4 linked regions of the Macaca mulatta genome follow. The protein of the gene in region 3 interacts with the protein of the main gene of each other region in a pairwise test. Links are inferred from orthologs where the notes say so. Each region holds a gene or a part of one and is shown on either strand. Other genes may lie near its edges.

The links. The genes of interacting proteins can lie anywhere in the genome.
Region 1: the proteins of HOMEZ (region 3) and PRKAA2 interact in binary tests that used the Homo sapiens proteins (3 or more experiments, as listed by UniProt). The two-hybrid records come from large-scale screens. The link is inferred for Macaca mulatta from reciprocal best matches to the Homo sapiens genes HOMEZ and PRKAA2.
Region 2: the proteins of HOMEZ (region 3) and SNRPB2 interact in binary tests that used the Homo sapiens proteins (3 or more experiments, as listed by UniProt). The two-hybrid records come from large-scale screens. The link is inferred for Macaca mulatta from reciprocal best matches to the Homo sapiens genes HOMEZ and SNRPB2.
Region 4: the proteins of HOMEZ (region 3) and MAD2L1BP interact in binary tests that used the Homo sapiens proteins (3 or more experiments, as listed by UniProt). The two-hybrid records come from large-scale screens. The link is inferred for Macaca mulatta from reciprocal best matches to the Homo sapiens genes HOMEZ and MAD2L1BP.

Annotation. Positions count from the first base shown.
Region 1 is NC_133406.1:183,976,256-183,981,179, forward strand, and holds the start of PRKAA2 (5'-AMP-activated protein kinase catalytic subunit alpha-2), read right to left. Parts: upstream 3,136-4,924; 5' UTR 3,105-3,135; coding exon 3,011-3,104; intron 1-3,010. UniProt on the Homo sapiens protein: Catalytic subunit of AMP-activated protein kinase (AMPK), an energy sensor protein kinase that plays a key role in regulating cellular energy metabolism.
Region 2 is NC_133415.1:67,266,056-67,270,951, forward strand, and holds the start of SNRPB2 (U2 small nuclear ribonucleoprotein B''), read right to left. Parts: upstream 3,136-4,896; 5' UTR 3,039-3,135; exon of another isoform or gene 2,704-3,038; intron 1,427-2,703; 5' UTR 1,389-1,426; coding exon 1,325-1,388; intron 930-1,324; coding exon 757-929; intron 1-756. UniProt on the Homo sapiens protein: Involved in pre-mRNA splicing as component of the spliceosome. Associated with sn-RNP U2, where it contributes to the binding of stem loop IV of U2 snRNA.
Region 3 is NC_133412.1:96,372,133-96,376,169, forward strand, and holds the end of HOMEZ (homeobox and leucine zipper protein Homez), read right to left. Parts: coding exon 2,597-4,037; 3' UTR 1,077-2,596; downstream 1-1,076. UniProt on the Homo sapiens protein: May function as a transcriptional regulator.
Region 4 is NC_133409.1:138,482,915-138,487,655, forward strand, and holds the start of MAD2L1BP (MAD2L1-binding protein), read right to left. Parts: upstream 3,136-4,741; 5' UTR 3,117-3,135; coding exon 3,071-3,116; intron 2,603-3,070; coding exon 2,337-2,602; intron 1-2,336. UniProt on the Homo sapiens protein: May function to silence the spindle checkpoint and allow mitosis to proceed through anaphase by binding MAD2L1 after it has become dissociated from the MAD2L1-CDC20 complex.

The DNA.
Region 1 (4,924 bases), on a different chromosome or scaffold from region 3:
TGACCATCAACTGGTTTTGTATAGAGAAAATGTGGTATATCCACACAATGGAATATTATTCAACTATAAAAAGGAACAAACTAATGACACATGCTCTGTCATGCATGAATCTCAAAAGCATTTTTAAAGAAGCTAGACACAAAAGATGACATATTGAATGATCATGTTTATGAAGAAGTGCCTAGAAAAAGCAAATTTATACAGGCAGAAAACAGATTAGTGATTTCCTGGGACTGAGGGTAGGAAAGAGATTAACTGTGATGGGTATAAGGAATCTTACTGTGGTGTCCTCAAATGTCCTAAAACTGATCTATAATGATGGTTGCAACATTTGGCAAAATTAGTAAAAATCATTGAATTGTACACTTAGAACGGATGAATCTCATATATAAAATATACCTAAATAAAGCTGTTTTCCTTTTTTTTTTTTTTTTTTTTTTTTTGAGATGGAGTCTTGCTCTGTCACCCAGGCTGGAGTGCAGTGACGCAATCTCGGCTCACTGCAACCTCTGCCTCCCAGGTTCAAGCGATTCTCCTGCCTCGGCCTCCTCAGTAGCTGGGATTACAGGTACCTGCCACCACGCTCAGCTAATTTTTGTGTTTTTAGTAGAGACGGGTTTTCGCCATGTTGGCCAGGTTGGTCTCAAATTTCTGACCTCAACTGAACCGTCCGCCTCAGCCTCCCAAAGTGCTGGGATTACAGGCATGAGCCACAGTTTAAAAAAAAAAAAAAAAAAAAAAAGACTTGTTTCACTTGTCCCTTGAAGAATTATATGAGTAACTGTAGATTGTAGCAGTTTCTATAATTTTTATTAAACAATTGTACTGATCATAATCTTGGATAGGAAACCATAGTATCACTTTTCAGAGGATCTAATACAGTGTTAGGAAAACTCCTTCAACTGGTTGTTCATTGGACAGAGGTTCTCCAGGAAAAGGATTTCTCATAAATCAAAGTTCTTTCTGTTTATATTTCAAGAAGCCAGTGCCTGGAAACAATTCAAAAGTACACACAAGAGATTTAAGTTGTCTTTGACAATGGACTGATTGATCTGATGGGTATTCTACTCTACATTCAGATTACAGTATACAAACTTAAAAAGACCAGCAAAAATTTTTAACACAATTTGAAAGGACATAGGGTTAAGTTATATAACTTTGAGAGTGTACATGTCCAAATGTCAAAGGCACTGTTTGCTTGAGCAACTGTATAATGTTGTAACACAATAGTCCTTAATAATGATACTAAATGACAAGTAACATTACAGGCTTACTGTATCCCTTACAATCCCTGGATCGTCCTGTATTCATCTTAAACATATTCTAACTATCCACTCTACTTATAAGGTCTTTCAAAAATAACCCAGGACTTCATAACCCTCACAGAACCGCAAAGAATTTTACAAACTTTTTAGGTCATTGCAAAAATACCACCTTGTCTGACCACCTTATTGAAAACTGCCAACCTCACAAAACTATCTTCCTTTCCCTGCTTCATTTTTCTCAGTAAAATTAAATATACCTTTTACATACATATTCTGATTACTGTCTGCCTTCCCCTACTAGAAAGCTCCATGAAAAGATCCGTTTTTTCGTTGCTGTATCCTCATTGCCTAGAACAGTGCCTACCACGCTGCAGGTGCTCAGAGTTTTTTGAACAAATGAATGGGTATTAAACACGTGCAAGAAAACAGGAGCTGATTCTTACCACAGGAATGAACAATGAGTCTCTTCTACTCATTCAACAGCCTTGACTTGGGGTTAAAATACGAATTTTACAAGGAAATAGAGACCTCAGAATAAAATTTCCAGACTGCCTACTCAGCATTTCTTCAGCAAAGAGAAAAAAAAAAAAAAAAAAAAAGCCAATGTTTCACTTATAATTCTGGATTTACAACAAAGTATTTTTAATAAACAACTGTGTCTATTCTGGAGAGAAGGCAGGTTAATTAAATCCCATGTGACTAATTAACAAAAAAGAAAACAAATGAAAGCTCAACACAACTATTCTTACTAGTTAACTTAACTCTAATAAAGTATAACATTTCAAAAGCAGCCTGTCTTCCTACACCCAAAATGGGATCCTATCTCCATGAAGACAGACCTTAGCAGAATATGCCTTAGTAGTCCTGACCTCCTCAACCTCAATCCTCCAAACACCAAGGAAACTTTTTCTCTCCCTTACCCCAGAAGTCTTCCCATAGCCATTTTACAAACACAACCACCTTCAGACCTCTCTGTTCTAATTAACCTCTGACCCAATCCAGCTGCATTCCAGCGTTTAACAACACCCCAGGAAGAAAGACTCACAACCTCTGGCCCCTGGAGCATCCCCCAAACAGTCACCCCCAAAAACCGAGAGTCCTGGAACATGAAGGAATCTGGGGATGGCAGGGACCTCCCAGCAAGACCAGAATTGGAGGACATCTTAGACTTCACTCTGGTACTGCCCATTTCTGTGTGACCTTGGGCTTGTTACTCCATCTCTAGGGGTCTTAGTTTTCTCACCTTAAGGGTGAGGACATGTTGACCGAGTCACTGTAGGATTCAATGAGATCCCATGTAAAGCACCTAACAGGGCACCCGGCAGGAAACGGCGCCTCAGTCCTCAGCGTGCATGATCCCCGCCCTGAGCCTACAGGCTCAGAGCTGGGAGGCGCCTCGTGGATAGAGTCCAATCTCCCGGTTTTGCAGAGGACACTGAGGTCCAGAGAAGACAGAAGTGCCTTGCTCCAACCTCCGGAAAGGCGGATGGGCGCGGGACCTGGAACCCAGGACGCCCGTCTTCAGCCCACACCCCCGCCCCCTTCCCTGGACCCTGCGGGAACCGGGCGCCGGTGCCAGGCGAGGCGGTGCGCGCCACCCTCCCGGGGCCCCAGCTCCGCGCGGCCCGGGGCCGCTCCACCTGCCGCCGAGCCCCGCGCCCGCCCGAGGCCCGGGGCTCCCGCCTCTCCACCCGGCCTCCCGCAAGCCAGGCAGCTCGCACAGCGGTCCGGAGCGCGTACTCAACTCTTCACTTTGCCGAAGGTGCCGACGCCCAGCGTGTCGCCCAGCACGTAGTGTCCGATCTTCACCCGCCCGTCGTGCTTCTGCTTCTCAGCCATCTTCCGCGCGCGCGGCCTCGCTTCGCCGCCTGCCGCTCCGCGCCGCCGCCGCTGCCGCCGCCTACCCACAGTGCAGCGGGCCCTGCGGGCGGGGGGGCGGACCCCGAGCCGCGAGGGGCACGGGGCTGCGCGGGGTCCCGGGAGGGGGCGCTGGGCGCGCCGGGCCCAGGTGGGAAGCAACGGGCGAGCGGCGGGCGGGGCGGGGCCGAGGGAGCGCGCGGCGCCGGCTCCCGGGAGTGAGAGGCGCCTGCGGCAGAGCCAGAGGCAGCGACGGCGGGGGCCGGGGACGCGGGGCGCTGGGCGGGAGTGCGGGAGGGGCCGCGCCAGGTGCGCCGGGTCCGAGTGAGGGACGGATGCGGCAGGTGCTGCGAAGTGGGGTGGGCGAGGGTCCCGAGGGAGCCAGGGTGCCCTTTCTGAGGAAAACCGAAGGGGGTGAAAATGGGGGGTGAGGCTGGGGCCCGTTTCTAGGGAATGGAAAGACGTGGAAGTCAAACTGGAAGAAGAGACGAGCCTCGGGTGTGGGGAGCGAGGGGCTGTAAAAGGGAAGAGGCGAGAGGGGAGACTGCGGGAAGGGCCCTGGTCAAAAGGGCAGTGGCAGAAGAGCCTCTAGGAAGCCCCTCAGTTTCGTCTGAGGCTTTTGGATACAGGTCGCGGCACAGGGAGAACGCACGCAGCTCTGTGCGCTCTTGAATTGTCCTCCTCTACTTATTCTGTAATTCCCAATTATTTTGTCCTGTAGATAGAAGAGACCCTCTCCGCCAGAGCTCTCAGTTGTAACTAATTTGCCCACAGTTTTCCAAAAAATCTCAGTCACGGTATTTGCTCGAGTGTATTTTAGCACATGCTTATATAAATAAGTAGTTTTACCACGCGCTTATATAAACATATAGTACCGAAATGTGATACAGCTGTATAAGAGGGAAATGGGAAAGACGTGGAAAGGCAAACAACATTCTGCCCACAGAAAGTAAAATACGTGAGCGACAGAGGAATTGTGAAGGGCGAGGCCAATACAAGGCCACATATTAAAGGAAGAATAAATGTGATATAGAAGTGAAAAGAGTGGTAAGAGGAAATTAGAAGCATGATGCCTAGGTAGCGTGTTCAAAGACTGACCTCGCCACGCCCCCCCCAAAAAAGAAAAAAGACTGGCAAAGAATTAGGTAATAAAGTGATGATCTCTGCCTCCCTTCCTTCTTTGCCGCCCTTCCTTCCCTCCTTTCCTTCCTTCATGTTGTCCCATTCTTTAATGTTGTTCCGTATTTCAGTGATTAAAGTTTATTTGCTTCTCACCACACACACACAAAGATTCGTATCCGTTTGTTAATTAGCTTGACATAGACATTCCACAATATGTATTTCAAAACATATACATACTAAATATATACAATTTTTATTTGCCAAAGAAAAAATTTTAAAACTAAAAAAATATTGCTGTTTGGGGATAAGTAATTAAGGATTAGTCAGACATTTATAGCACTGCATGCCAGTAGAGTTTCAAGGTCACATTCCTCAAACATGAAGTCTCTTGAACACTGTTTATATGTAAATTGAAATTATTGATAAAAAAGAATAGGACACAACAAAATTTTGTTTTCTGAGAAGTACTAAATATAGAAATTTCAAACATTCATTCTCATCCAAACATCAAGACAATCTGATGAGAGATGATCACAGCTTATAAATTATAGATATCACAGCTGTTAAACAGAGGCTATTTTTGTTCATTCTTCAGATCATCTTTCTTGCTGACAAGAAGTATCATTTAGGAATCACTCTACCTAGCTGGCAATTTTGAGAAAATAGCCAGTTATTTTTGT
Region 2 (4,896 bases), on a different chromosome or scaffold from region 3:
TTTTTTGTCCAACACTCCTTCACATCACATTCTAATCGCAGAAAAAAAGCAGTTTGGAATCCACACCCAAGGTACGGTATATTCCCTCAGACATAGAGAATCCCTTGCTTCACACTCTGTGGTCACCCTTATCTAATCCTCTACATCTCTGATTTACATCAAGGGCCTCCTGAGTTTCCCACTTCCTTTCTGTCCCTCCCACAATGCGACCTTCATCCAGCAGCTAGATGTGAATCTCATTATGTCATTCCTGAGTTTAAAACTCTCCAAACAATTTCATTTCCATTGTTATTCCTAAAACCTATGAGTTTGAACCTATCATTTTTCTTTAGATCACTGTTTCATCTAGACTGTGTAGCTTCTGACATATAGTATTTCACTATAGCATTTTCTAAAACTTCAGACTGAATTTCCCCTTTAGCTTCTGACTTTTGTAATGTTTTACAAGTTTACAAACAGGTTTCTTTTCAAGTCTTCCAGGTTATTATTAATTTCTAACTTTTTGAGATAAGACTATTGCCTAGACTGCCATTATTTTTTTAAATATTCTACATCTCAATGTATTTTGTTTTCAGCCATCTTAACCGTCATAAATTAAACTCTACTGCTATTGTTTTTCTATAAAAACACATAAACCCAAACACACGTAATTAAAAGCAGAAAGCAACAGCCACAGTTTCAAGCATATTTACAAATCTACTGTACCATCAATATCATTAATTTCTTGATTAAAGTGAAATAATAGAATTGGCTTACCATTGGTTTACCATAAAATGGAAATCCTTGTAACTGTCTCAAAGCATTCGTGGATGAGCCCAGTTCCTTAAATATGACAAAGGCCTGCCCCCTCATCTTCATGGTCTTTAAAGCCACAATGTCCACCACATGACCGAATTGAGAAAACAGGGCATACAGGGATCTCTTCAATTCTGTCCAAATTAGAAAAGAAACAAGTCATTGGTAATAAGATAATGACAAAAGTCTTCATAAAATGATACTGCATTGAGTTGCCTCCCCACCATTCACTTATTTATAGTTATATATATTTAATGTTTATAAAAACATATACTATTCCCATTGGCTATATGTAATTTTATAAGTCAGATGAAACCATTATATCTATGAGTAGAAACAGACTGTACACACTGTCAATTCCTACCTATTTTTGTTTTTTAAAAGTCTTCAAATCCCTATAGGTAATGGAATAAACCATTATTTCAGGCACTAAGACGACGAGGTAAGAGGTTTTGAGGCAATACAATTTTTAAGACAGTAGTAAATAAACACATTTTAGTAGTGAACAAGTATTTTTAAAAGCACTTACCTTCCTTTTTAATTTTGTCATTCATATTGTTGATATAAATTGTATGATTTGGTCTGATATCCATGTTTGTGTTAAATTCTTCAGAAGGAGACAGTAAAAAATCTGTTATAAAAAGGAAGGAGTAAATTATACTGGACTGTGGCATAAGGACACAACACACGAATTATTAACCTTTCACTTCTCTTTCAATCCCAATTGTTAGATGATGTCAGTTTGGCTGAAGCCTTTAGTGTACCTCCAGCACCTACTAGCCCTCCTTTTCATACAAAAGGAGAAGAGTTTCTCATGCTCAAAACTTGGAGCACCAATACCTAGCCAGATTTTAGTAACATCATTTAATTCAACACATTTATTTTCACACTTACTTTTCACTTATGACAAGTGATATTTTCTTTCCACCTCCTCAATAATTTAAAATGTAGATTTGAAGAAAAATGACCAAGTAGCAAATGTACATCCAGTGAAAATCATAAGGTTAGACATTAATGGAGTTTGCCAACTACTTCTTGGGTGCACTTACAAAGTCCTTCCATACCTATTACTTAATTTGTATACAGTATCACCAAGCTGTCTGGACTCCAAGGTTACCTCTAACCGACTTGAAAGAAGGGAGCTCAATGACAACAGTGTGGCATGACCGTTAAACTCAGATTCTAGTACCAACCATATGTGAATTCAAATCCTATTTATGCTTCTTATTAGCTGTTTGCCTGAGGGAAGTTCCTTAATCTGTCAGGTCCTCATCAGTAAAATGAGAATGGTAACAGAACCTACCCAACCGAACTCAGAAGACTAAATGAGTTCTAGCACAGTTTTGCATCAACGGTAAGCACTTAAAGTAGCTATTATTAACAGCTATTACCAGTTAAGGAACGTGCCTAAGGTCACACAGCTAATAAGCATCAAGCCTGGAAATTCAGCCCTTGCTTTCTCCTCTACACTTCTCTTCCTCGTCCACCACACTATTGCATTTTTTTAACGTGGTTTTTACTTGCAAACTGTGAAGCTGCTTGATTTCCTTGTGTGCCCCACATATTTCTTTATCTCACAAATATTTACGGAGCATCCACTGTACGTGAATAGCATTGGATGATTGACAAGGGAAGAGCCTACAAGCAGGGGCTGCACTTGTGCAGGTAACAGGTAAAACATAACGCTTCTCCAAGCCTTGGGACCCCCTAAATCGAAATCTGGAGAAGCGGCAAGGGTCACAAAGGAGACGACGAAAGGGAAGTGACTGAGGCAGAGGTCAAACTGAAGGTAGGGGGACAAAGGGGAGGCTCTTGCGGGGTTTCATGCGAGGTTTGATCGTGGGCTGGACTGTTACAGGGGCACCCTGAATTACCCGCCACTACCAAAAGGAAACCGCTGGAAGACACCTGAAAGCGCAGTGAACTGTCAGCGCCTCGCACAAGCAGACGGACATTATCCTTTACTTCGTAAGCGCAAGCCTCCCGCCTCTCCAGACACAAGCACCTTCGCCCGAGGCCCCCTAACGAAGTCCGAGGGAGCTGCCACGCGATGCCCGGCCCCTGAGTCAGTCTCCCATCTCTTCCTCGCCCCCAGCCTACTCGGGTACTCCGAGATCCAAATCCGGGCCAAACGCGTCCCCACCCCAGCTTCGCGCTTCGTCCGCTCCCAGCTGCAACAGGGGAGAGAAGGGCCGAGGAGCCAGGAAAACCGAAACAGCGAGGTAAAAGGTGCACGAACCCACCTAAGGCCTACGCAGTCTCCCGTAAGAACCAAAAGCAGGAAACGGAGCCAGGCACCGGAAGTAACGTTGCCACGCTCCTCAATCGAGCGCCCACAAGTCTACAAGCCGAGCGCAGAGCAGATCGATGCTTCCTGGTCTCTGGCGGCCCGTAGGTAATCTCTTTGCGCGTGCGTATGCCCTGCGGGCAGGAGAAGAGTCCGGAAATGGAAATGGGGAAAGGGACGGGGTTTGTGGGGACAATGCTGCGAGGGAATAGGGAAGAAGAGTGAATCATTTCCCTTACCACGACCTTGCGAAGCTTTGCCCCGCGCAAGAGTGCCTTCCACCTTTACAAATCCTATGTAATTTTACAGGCTCTGCCTCTCATGCTACGGGGCAGTTAGTCCTGGTTTCGCCCTTCTTTGGGCTCTGGCTGCCCCGGTTTAAAATCACCTTTAGGATAGCCGGTTCCTCCGGCCTCCAAGTCTCCTCTGATTCCTGGGGCTCTGCAGGAACTGTCCTCCAACACTCTGCTGATGAACTTGAATCTCAGAGGCTACCCAGTTTGAGGGCCCAGGGCAAACAGAACTGGTGTCTGCCCAATTCTCATCTCTCACCAGATAAGGCAACCATGCTGAGTAGAACCCAATCATCTGTAAGATCATCTGCCTCAACTCACTCGAAAAAATAATTCCCTACCACCCTTCCCACTCTTTTCTTCCCACAAAAAGTCTAGATTTTTCTAGGGTAGTCTAACGAGTTAGTATTTATGCCAAGCTGAATGGGAATTCCCAAAAAAATTCCCATGCTTTCATTCATTCATCCATTCATCAGATGTCTGTAAAGCATCACCTGGAATATGAAATGGTTGTTAAGAGTCAAGTGGAACCTAATCTTGTACCCTCTGCTTAACTAATCTCTCTGATCTTCACTCTTTTCGTCTGTAAAATAGGGATCCTAATAGTATCTCCTTCTAGTTGTTGTAGGCATTAAATGAGCTAAAATAAATGTAAAGTGGTTGGCACATTACCAGACACAAAATAAATGCTCAAAAATGTTATTTCTGAATTCTGGCTATAACTTGGTTATATTGGTGAGGCTCAAAAATGTTATTTCTGAGTTCTGGCTATAACTTGGTTATATTGGTGAGGCAGGTAGCTGTCAAATAAGTTAGTTTTATCAGCTGGGAATTTTTATTTTTTAAAAAACACCTAAAGTTGCAACAACTTGAAAATAATATAAGCTTCTTAAGGGTGGGGATTTTGTCTGCTCTGTTCACTCAAGTACCCTTAGTAATGAGAATAGTGACTGATAATTAATATGTATTGGATAAATGAATGACTGACATGGAAAACTAGGCAACAGTAAACAAATATGCTTTGAACATGCAGATGAGTGTAGAAAATGTTAAGGGATCACAGAAAAACATCCTTTTATTATATAGATCTAATACTACAAGAAATGGCTGAGTGTAGTAGCTCACACCTGTAATCCCAGCATTTGCGGAGGCTGAGATAGGACTGGTTGAGGCCAGGAGTTTGAAATCATCCTGGGCAACACAGTGAGATCTCATCTCTGAAATAAATAAATAAATAAATAAGAAGAAATAAATGAGAAATTCCTATCTCAGTCAAAGAATTATATCTTTAACAAATTAAAAGAGAATATAAACTTAATGTAAACAATTTCTAAATAACAAAGGACAAGCTATTCTGCGTATTAGTATGAGCATCTCAACAGTTAGTTCTATTTGTTGATAATGAGGATGGCTAAACTACTGAGAATAAACTATACTCTTTATTATATAAGGGGATCTAGCCAAGAGTTGATAACTGTTAAAAGAGAATAAGATGTGATTATGCAAAGACACTCCAACCTA
Region 3 (4,037 bases):
CTACATTGTTTCCTAGTTTCACTCTATACCTTATGCTCCCTCCATCTTTACCCTATTCACCCTTATCACCTCCCAGGACAGTGGTCAGGTCTTACAAAAGGCTAGTGCTTCAGGAAGATGTTTATAGCTCTTCCAGAAGACCTTGGTAGCTCCCCTCATTTCCTACAATTTGAAACAAAGGTCATAAAAATAATTATTGGCATCATGCTTGGTTGGGAGTTGGGAATGGGGATTGTGATGGATCATATACTCATCACTGTTTCATTTCTGGATTTCATTTTTAGCTATGGATATACTGTCACATTGCCAATGTTAACAAGTAACATCTCTGTTCTTTGTCCTTATTATACATTTTCTATTTGCCTATTGTTTCCTCTATGCTTAGTTACTATTAAATGCTAATTTTCCTTTCTATTGAAAACAACTGTTGGAGACACTGATTTTCAGTTTAGTATATAGATAGTAAAATTAAGACGACACCCTTTTATTGCTACAATTCTATCACTATTACAAGTTCTAGAATGGTGGAATGGGCAAACAACACTACCACTGAGATCAAACATGTATTCTACTTTGGGTACTAAAAGGCAGAAATGAGGAATTAAATAGGTTAGCCACTCACAAGTTGGCCTTAAGCAAAAATACTGGGAAAACAGAAAATAGCAGGCATCTGCCAGAAATAAATTAGCTCTTGGGAATGACCTTGTATCTGAATTAGGAGCCCTATACCCTTTCTGGTACTCTGAATTTATTTTAAAGGCATTTCTAGACACCTTCTCTTTTAGGCAAGAGCCTGTCCTGTAGCAAATGGAGTTACCTCCAAGATTGTTGTATCTCTGTTACTCCTGAAGCCTCAGAAATTTCAGTCATTATCATTTGATGGCTGAGAAACAACCTGGCTGGTGACAGATGCTGAACTACTTCCTTTTAAAGTTTTTATTCTTCTTTTAATTTACCTCAATAAGTCCTGCCCTTCAAAACAATAAATTAAAAGTATGCTGAGTTAGAATGTTAATGGATTTGGTTCCATTAATCCCTAAACCATAGGAGTGGCAAAGTGGATGAGAGAGAAACAATTTTATTTTTGGCCTTTTTATTATTGTTCTAGCATTCTAGGGCTTCCACTCTTTTATTTTTAGATGGTTAACTCATTGATGATACCTATTTGCCATATAGCTGATCCCAACTGATGAAAACCATTCTAAAACATCAATAATTAATTCACTTAAAGACGATGGTCCCTCTGTCCCTAAGACAGATCCTATAAAGAGAGGGAAAAAGTCTCTTTTTCAGAAACAAATTGACAGCAAAAAGATGAAAATTTAGTCTCTGTCAAGTTGGACAGGAGGTAGTTATCAGGTTTGTAAAACCAAACCTGGAACCTACCTCCACTGTCCTTCAACAAGGGGAAACTATTCCCTCTTTCACCCCTTTGTAACACAGTTCTACTTTTTAAAACGACATCTTCCCTAATTACCACCTCCAATAAATATCCATTCTAAATTATTCTCTACCCAATTATTAAAGTTTTTCACAAGCTCGGTGGGGGAAGATTTACCCTGAGACAAACAGTGAACAGAGTGAGGATTTTGGAAAGACAGAAAAAACTACAAAGCAAAGTGGTCCCAGCATAAGAACTGAAAATAGCGGGGTACAGTGGCTCACGCCTGTAATCCCAGCACTTTGGGAGACTGAGGAGGGCAGATCACGAGGTCAGGAGATCAAGACCATCCTGGCTAACACGGTGAAACCCCATCTCTACTAAAAATGTAAAAAAATTAGCCGGGCATGGTGGTGGGCGCCAGCTACTTGGGAGGCTGAGGCAGGAGAATGGCATGAACCCGGGAGGCAGAGCTTGCAGTAAGCTGAGATTGCGTCACTGCACTCCAGCCTGGGTGACAGAGCAAGACTCCATCTCAAAAAAAAAAAAAAAAAAAAAAAAAACCCCGAAAATATTCTGCCACCTGTGATTTAGTCATGAAGCAGGTGAAACAGTCAAGTTGGTATGAGGAAAAGGAAATATTAATATTTGTGATGAGATTGGGACTTACTGAGAATCTTGGTTGTCTAGGAAATGATCAGTTATTAAGAAAAAAAGTAAGAGTCAGTTGCATCATGCACAGACTTGTGCTCAGAAACGGGGTGCAAGGCAGCCTTATATTCCAGGTAAGATGGTGGGATTGGGGATGCACTGGAATCATCAATCAAATCAGAATCCTTTACTCCTCCTTTCCAATCCTCCTGGAGTGGTGGAGCCAATGTCTGGCCTCTCTATAGTACACTAAGGGAAAAGAACAGCAGACACGAGGTGAGCAAGAGCAGTTTGCCAGCCCATGGTTTCCCCAGATCCTTAGCACTCTCTACACTAAGGTTAGAGCTCTGGATTTCTGCTCATCCAATCCCAGCCTTACTTAGTGCCCTATGGTCATTCTCCCTGGTCCACCCTCACTATATTCCCCTGCCACCCACCCTGAAGAACACAAAGCTTTTTAGTTCTCTGCCACAAGGTAATTTTAAAAATGTGGTTTCTTTGTTTAAACAGTTACTAAGTTGTTTCATCTTTTCATAACAGACCTCCCCTCCCCCAGCTCCCCACTCAGTCTTGTATGATCACATCATCATCATCATCATCATCTTCCTCCTCCTCCTCTTCTTCCTCATCACCTTCTAGCAGTTCTTCCTCCTCCTCTTCCTCTTCTTCATCTAGACAAACTACCACCTCAGCTGGCTGAGGTAATCGAGAGTCAAACCAATCCAGTACCTGCTGGGTGCTAAGCCTTGATGCCTGACTCAATTGAGGGATATCAGTTTCCCGTAGCTGTTGGTGGGCTGCCCAGTACCTCTCCAAGGGTTGTATATCCGGTGGGGGTGGAGGGATCGGCAGAGGTGATGTCTCAGCCCTTTCATTCAAGGAGCGGGTTGATGGTGGTGGTGTAGGAATTGCTAGGTCTTGGAAACTAGGGGCACCAGGTACTGCGTTGTCCCGAAACCATTTTAGTTGCCCATGCTTCAAGGCATAACGTGTGTCACCAAACCACTGAATGATCTCAGGCCGAGGTAAACCAGTGATCTGTTCTAACTTTTGGTAATCCTCACGCCGTGCCCATTGGCACTGTAGAAAAAAGGATTTGAGGATAGCCAGCTGCTCTTTGGTTTTGCGCTTGGTCTTTCGCTGGCGTTGCATATCTGGGGAAAGGTACTCTGTGGGGCCAACCCTACCTGGTACTGAATTATGCCGTAGCCCTTGGGGCCAGGCTGGTTCCAGATGTGGGGGTAATGCCTGTTCACTGGGTGACACTGACTGTGGGATACAGCCTAATGGCTGGAGGGGTTTAGAGGTGGCAGTAGCTCCATTAGCCAGTACCTGGAAAGAAGAAGAGGAGGTAGAGGAAGAAGAGGGAGTAACACTAGATGCTGACTCCTCCTTACAACTACTGGCAATTAATGCAATTGGTGGGGGTTTATCCCGAGCTTGTGGTGGGGGGACAGTTGTGGAGTGGTTCCAGGAAGCAGTTCCTATGCCATGTGATTGGTTGGGACCCCTGCCTGCCTGCTCCTTTGAGAAGCCACTGCTTTGACGATGTTGCCAAAAATCTGATTGGTGGGGGAATGCTCCACTGCCAGGTGTCATCAGGGACTCCTTTAATTTCTGGTGACTCTGTGGCAGTGGTGGCATCTGAGAGGACTCCTCAGGCTCTACCTTCAATCCTTTCGTCTGGGTGGGCTTGCTAAGAGACGGAGGACCTATTCCAATACCAACTTGTTCTGGAGCTGGCATTGGAGGAGGAGGCACCTCCTCTGGGGGCCGTCCTGCATGATGAGTAAAAGAGAGAAGGGATTTGAAATGGAGTTGGTCCCGACGGTAGACTACTCGGGCTCGAGTTTCTTCTATTTCTTCAGATGACCAGCTAATACCACAGCGGAGGCGCTGGGCCATAAACCAAGTCTTGACTTTCTCCATCTGCAACCCATAACGTAGGCAGAGAAGGGCAATGTCTGCTAGGCTGGGATAGGGAAAGTAGCTGAAGGTTTTTAGC
Region 4 (4,741 bases), on a different chromosome or scaffold from region 3:
GTGGTGGCGGGTGCCTGTAGTCCCACCTACTTGGGAGGCTGAGGCAGGAGAATAGCATGAACCCGGGAGTCGGAGCTTGCAGTAAGCCGAGATTACGCCACTGTACTCCAGCCTGGGCGACAGAGCAAGACTCTGTCTCAAAAAAAAAGAAAAAAAAGAAAAGAAAGAAGGTGAAGAATTAAGAGTTCAAGAGAGCTGAATACCAAGTGCTGACAGAAGGGACTCCCAAGGGATGCAAACTGATACACACAGCAGAACCCCAGAAAGGTTTAGGAAGTGGTGATACAGGCACCACAGAGGCAAGAATGAATATAGGGGAAATGAATGAAAATCTGTGTCAAGATGCTTAGATCATCTGCCAAATTTCTCCCCCATCCAGAGGGAAGACTTTCCAATACTATGTTTAAGGAATCCCCCCAAAGAGATCACCAGGTTGCCACCTAATCTCCTTATAGTGAAGTCTATAAGCTCATAAGGCCCAGGCATGCACACAGAGCTTGCAGTGATTTGTTCTTAAATATTCACCAGACACAATAAAATTCTCCAACATGAAAGTCAAAGACCAGAACAAAACAAATGGAGAATGGATTCTAGAAGAAACTGAGATGCCGCAAAGAACAAAGAAAAACTTCAAAAATTAAATAATATCCTCAGGCAAAAGAAGTTCATGGCCTGGTGCGGTGGCTCACACCTGTAATCCCAACACCACTTCGGGAGACTGAGGCAGGTGGATCACCTGAGGTCAAGAGTTTGGGACCAGCCTGGCCAACATGGTGAAACTCCGTTTCTACTAAAAAAACAAAAATTAGCTGGGTAAGCCAGGCGTGGTGGCTCACACCTGTAATCCCAGCACTTTGGGAGGCCAAGATGGGCAGATCACTTGAGGTCAGAGTTTGAGAGCAGCTTAGCCAAAATGGCGATACCCCGTCTCCACTAAAAATACAAAATTTAACTGGGTGTGGTGGTACACACCTGTAATCCCAGCTACTTGGGAGGCTGAGGCAGGAGAATCGCTTGGAACCCAGAAGGTGGAGGTTGCAGTGAGCCAAAATCGCTCCACTGCACTCCAGCCTGGGCAACAGAGCGAGACTCTGTCTCAGAAAACAAACAGGCTGGGCATGGTGGCTCATGCCTGTAATCCCAGCACTTTGGGAGGCTGAGGCAGGCAGATCACCTGAGGTCAGGAGTTCGAGACCAGCCTGGCCAACATGGTGAAACCCTGTCTATACTAAAAATACAAAAATTATTTGGACATGGCGGCGCATGCCTATAATCCCAGCTACTTAGGAGGCTGAGACAGGAGAAGCGCCTGAACCTGGGAGACAGAGGTTGCAGTGAGCCGAGATGGCGCCACTGCACTCCAGCCTGGGTGACAAGAATGAAACTCCCTATCAAAAACAAACAAACAAACAAAATTAGCCAGGTGTGGTGGTGCATGCCTGTAATCCCAGCTACTTGGGAGGCTGAGGCAGGAGAATCACTTGAACCTGGGAGACTGAGGTTGCAGTGATCTGCGATAGTGCCACTCTCCTCCAGCCTGGGTGACAAAGTGAGACTCCATCTCAAAAAAAAAAAAAACAACAAAGCAAAAAAAAGTTCATACAGAAATTCAACAACAGGATGCTATTAAAAAGAAACATGCAGGCCGGGCGCAGTATTTCACGCCTGTAATCCCAGCATTTTGGGAGAGGCCAAGGCGGGCAGATCACTTGAGGTCAGGAGTTCGAGACTAGCCTGGCCAACATGGTGAAACTCCATCTGTACCAAAAATACAAAAATAAACCGGGCATGGTGGCACGTGCTCTTAGCTACTGGGGAGGCTGAAGCACAAGAATCGCTTGAACCTGGGAGGCAGAGGTTGCAGTGAGCAGAGATCACGCCATTGCATTCCAGCCTGGGCAACAGAGCAAGACTCTGTCTCAAAACATAAAATACAAAAATTAGCTGGGTGTGGTGGCGGGAGCCTGTAATCCTAGCAACTCAGGAGGCTGAGGCAGGAGAATCCCTTGAACCCAGGAGGGGGAGATTGCAGTGAGCCAAGATCTCACCACTGCACTCCAGCCTGGGCAACAGAGCGAGACTCTGTCTCAAAAGAAAAAAATGCGAAGAGCCAGTTCATTAAGACCAAATGCAACACGAGTTTCAGAAAGAAAGAACAGGAGAAAAAGCCAGAAGGGTTAGGCTACCAAAGACTAGAATGGGGAGAAAGTGACTGAAGCCCTGGAAGCTGCTTAGTCTCTCAGGCTCTGAAGATTTCTTAGACCCCCTTTCTACCTGCCTCCCATCTAAGAGCCACAAAGTCTTCCCACCAACTTGCTCCCAAAGCCTGTGCCTACCTGGGGAGAAGGTTTTCGGTAAAAGTTCTTAAGCTGTTCATAGGGCAGAGGGAGTTGCTGGCGTTGGTACATGATATGCTTTAGAAGTTCACAAGTAAACTGACAGCAGCCTTCCTGGCTTACAGGCCCAGGAAACACCACTGGTACTATGCAGTCTCTTGGGCAAAAGGGCTCCGAAGGGTTGAGAGGTTCCTGGGTAGAGCTTGTCTCAAGCAGTTCTATCTGGGAGGCGTGAGTTTCTTCTGACTTCTCATACCACTCCAAATCTGGTAGATGAAAAGAGGGACAAGAGAGAAAAATTTAAAACCTAAAAGCCAAAGTCAGTCTTCTCATTCCCTGTGGCCACCAAACCAGCCACCCTGAGAAAGCAGGCACTCCGACATACGCCCATACCCTCCGCAGCCTACAGTGTGGGCCGTGGCAGGGAGAGATTCCTGATCCCTGTTGCCTGAGGAGATTTAATTGACTGAAAGATAGTGGGGGTATTTCGGAGGTAGTAACTAGGGCTCCCCGCTCAGAAAGCAGCGGGACTTGATCTGGGGAAATGAGTCAAAAGTGTAGTCAAGCAGGGTCCAGTGCGACCCACGGCGATGGAGTCACAGCTAGAGCCTTGTAGGACACCCGGAAGACAGGGAAGATGGGCTAGGGAGAGGACCAAGGGATAAATGGAGGGCGCGGAGGTAGGGAAGAAACGGGTCCCTAAGGCTTCCCAAACTCTGGGCCCCACGCCTTACCAGGGACTGAGGCTGGGGACAGAACCTCCGCCTCCGGCGCCGCCATCACGACCTCCTCCCCTTACTCCTTGCGGTTAGAATAAAGGTCCCGCGGGGCATCATGGGAAGCCCGCGCCTCCACTTCCGGTTCAGTTGGGCCGGAAAAAAGGCGCGGCGCCACGGCAGTGTTGGGGAGGCTAAGTGGAGTTGGGATTTGATCCCTCCGTTCCTTCCTTAACACCCTGGCAAATATACGCCTAACCCTTGCCCAGCAAGAACCCAGGCGTTCTCAGCCAATGAGCGCTGCTTTCCAAAAGACACCAACCCTCACGCATCCATTCACTCCAGCATTCACTACTCACTGTGCACCTACTTCGTGCCAGGCCCTGTCCTAGGTGCTGGAGACTCAGCGGAGAACAAGCCAGGCGCGGACCCTGTACTCAAGGGGTTCACTGCCTGTAGATACCATACAATGTGATGAATTATACAGAAGGGTTTACACGGGGTGTGGAAGTGAAAAACAAGGGTGCCTGACCCAGAGAGGGTAGGGGCTGGGAAGGAGTGGTCCCAGAAGAAATGTGTGAAGCTGTGACCTGTAGGATAAGTCAGCAAGGTAAAGAGGAGGGCCCAGTGCTCCAGGAGACCTTGAGACAAGAGCATACTCTGTTCAAGGAATGAAAAGAGTTCATATTATAAAGAGTTAAGGCTGTAGTGAACAACAGGAGCCAGATCATGGCAGGACTGTGTAAGCCATGTGAGAGTTTGGACTTGATCCTGTAGTCAGATGGGGAAGCTTTGAAAGGTTTAAGTAGGAGAGTGGCATGATTAAATTTACATCTTATAATCTCTACCCTGGCTGCAGGGTAGAGATTGGATTACAGAGAGGATAAGAGAGGAGGCAGGGATACCAGTTAGAGGTAGTGCAATTACCTGAGTACTTGATGAAAGCAGCCTAAACTGCTAGGGTAGTCACAGTGGGGTGGAGATAATTGGGTAACTCGATATATTTAGGAGGTCCAGTGAACATAACTTGGTGATTGATTTACAAGGAGGAGGAGGAATAGAAATAGACTGACAAGAGGCCGGGCGTGGCTGCTCACACCTGTAATACCAGCACTTTGGGAGGCCAAGGCAGGTGGATCACAAGGTCAGGAGTTTGAGACCAGCCTGGCCAACATGGTGAAATCCTGTCTCTACTAAAAATACAAAAATTAGCTGGGCATGGTGGCATGCACCTGTAATCCCAGCTACTCAGGAGGCTGAAGCAGGAGAATCGCTTGAACCGGGAGGCAGAGGTTGCAGTGAGCTGAGATCACGCCACTGCACTCCAGCCTGGGTGACAAAGCAAGACTCCATGTCAAAAGAAAGAAAAGAAAAGAAGACTGACAAGAAAACAAGCAGGTTTCTGACTTCAGCAATTGTATGGCCAGTTGTGCCAGGAGTTTGATACCAGCCAGGACAATATTGGGGACCCTGTTTCTGCAAAATTAAAAAAAAAAAGTTTTTAAAAGTTAGCCAGGTGTGGTGGGTGCACATCTGTAGTCCTGGCTATTCAGGAGGCTGAGGCAGAGGATTGCTTGAGTCCAGGAGTTCGACAGTTACAGTGAGCTATGATTAAGCCACTGCACTTCAGCCTGGGCAGCAGAGTGAGACCATGACTCAAAAAAAAAAAAAAAGAATGGAGGAAACACT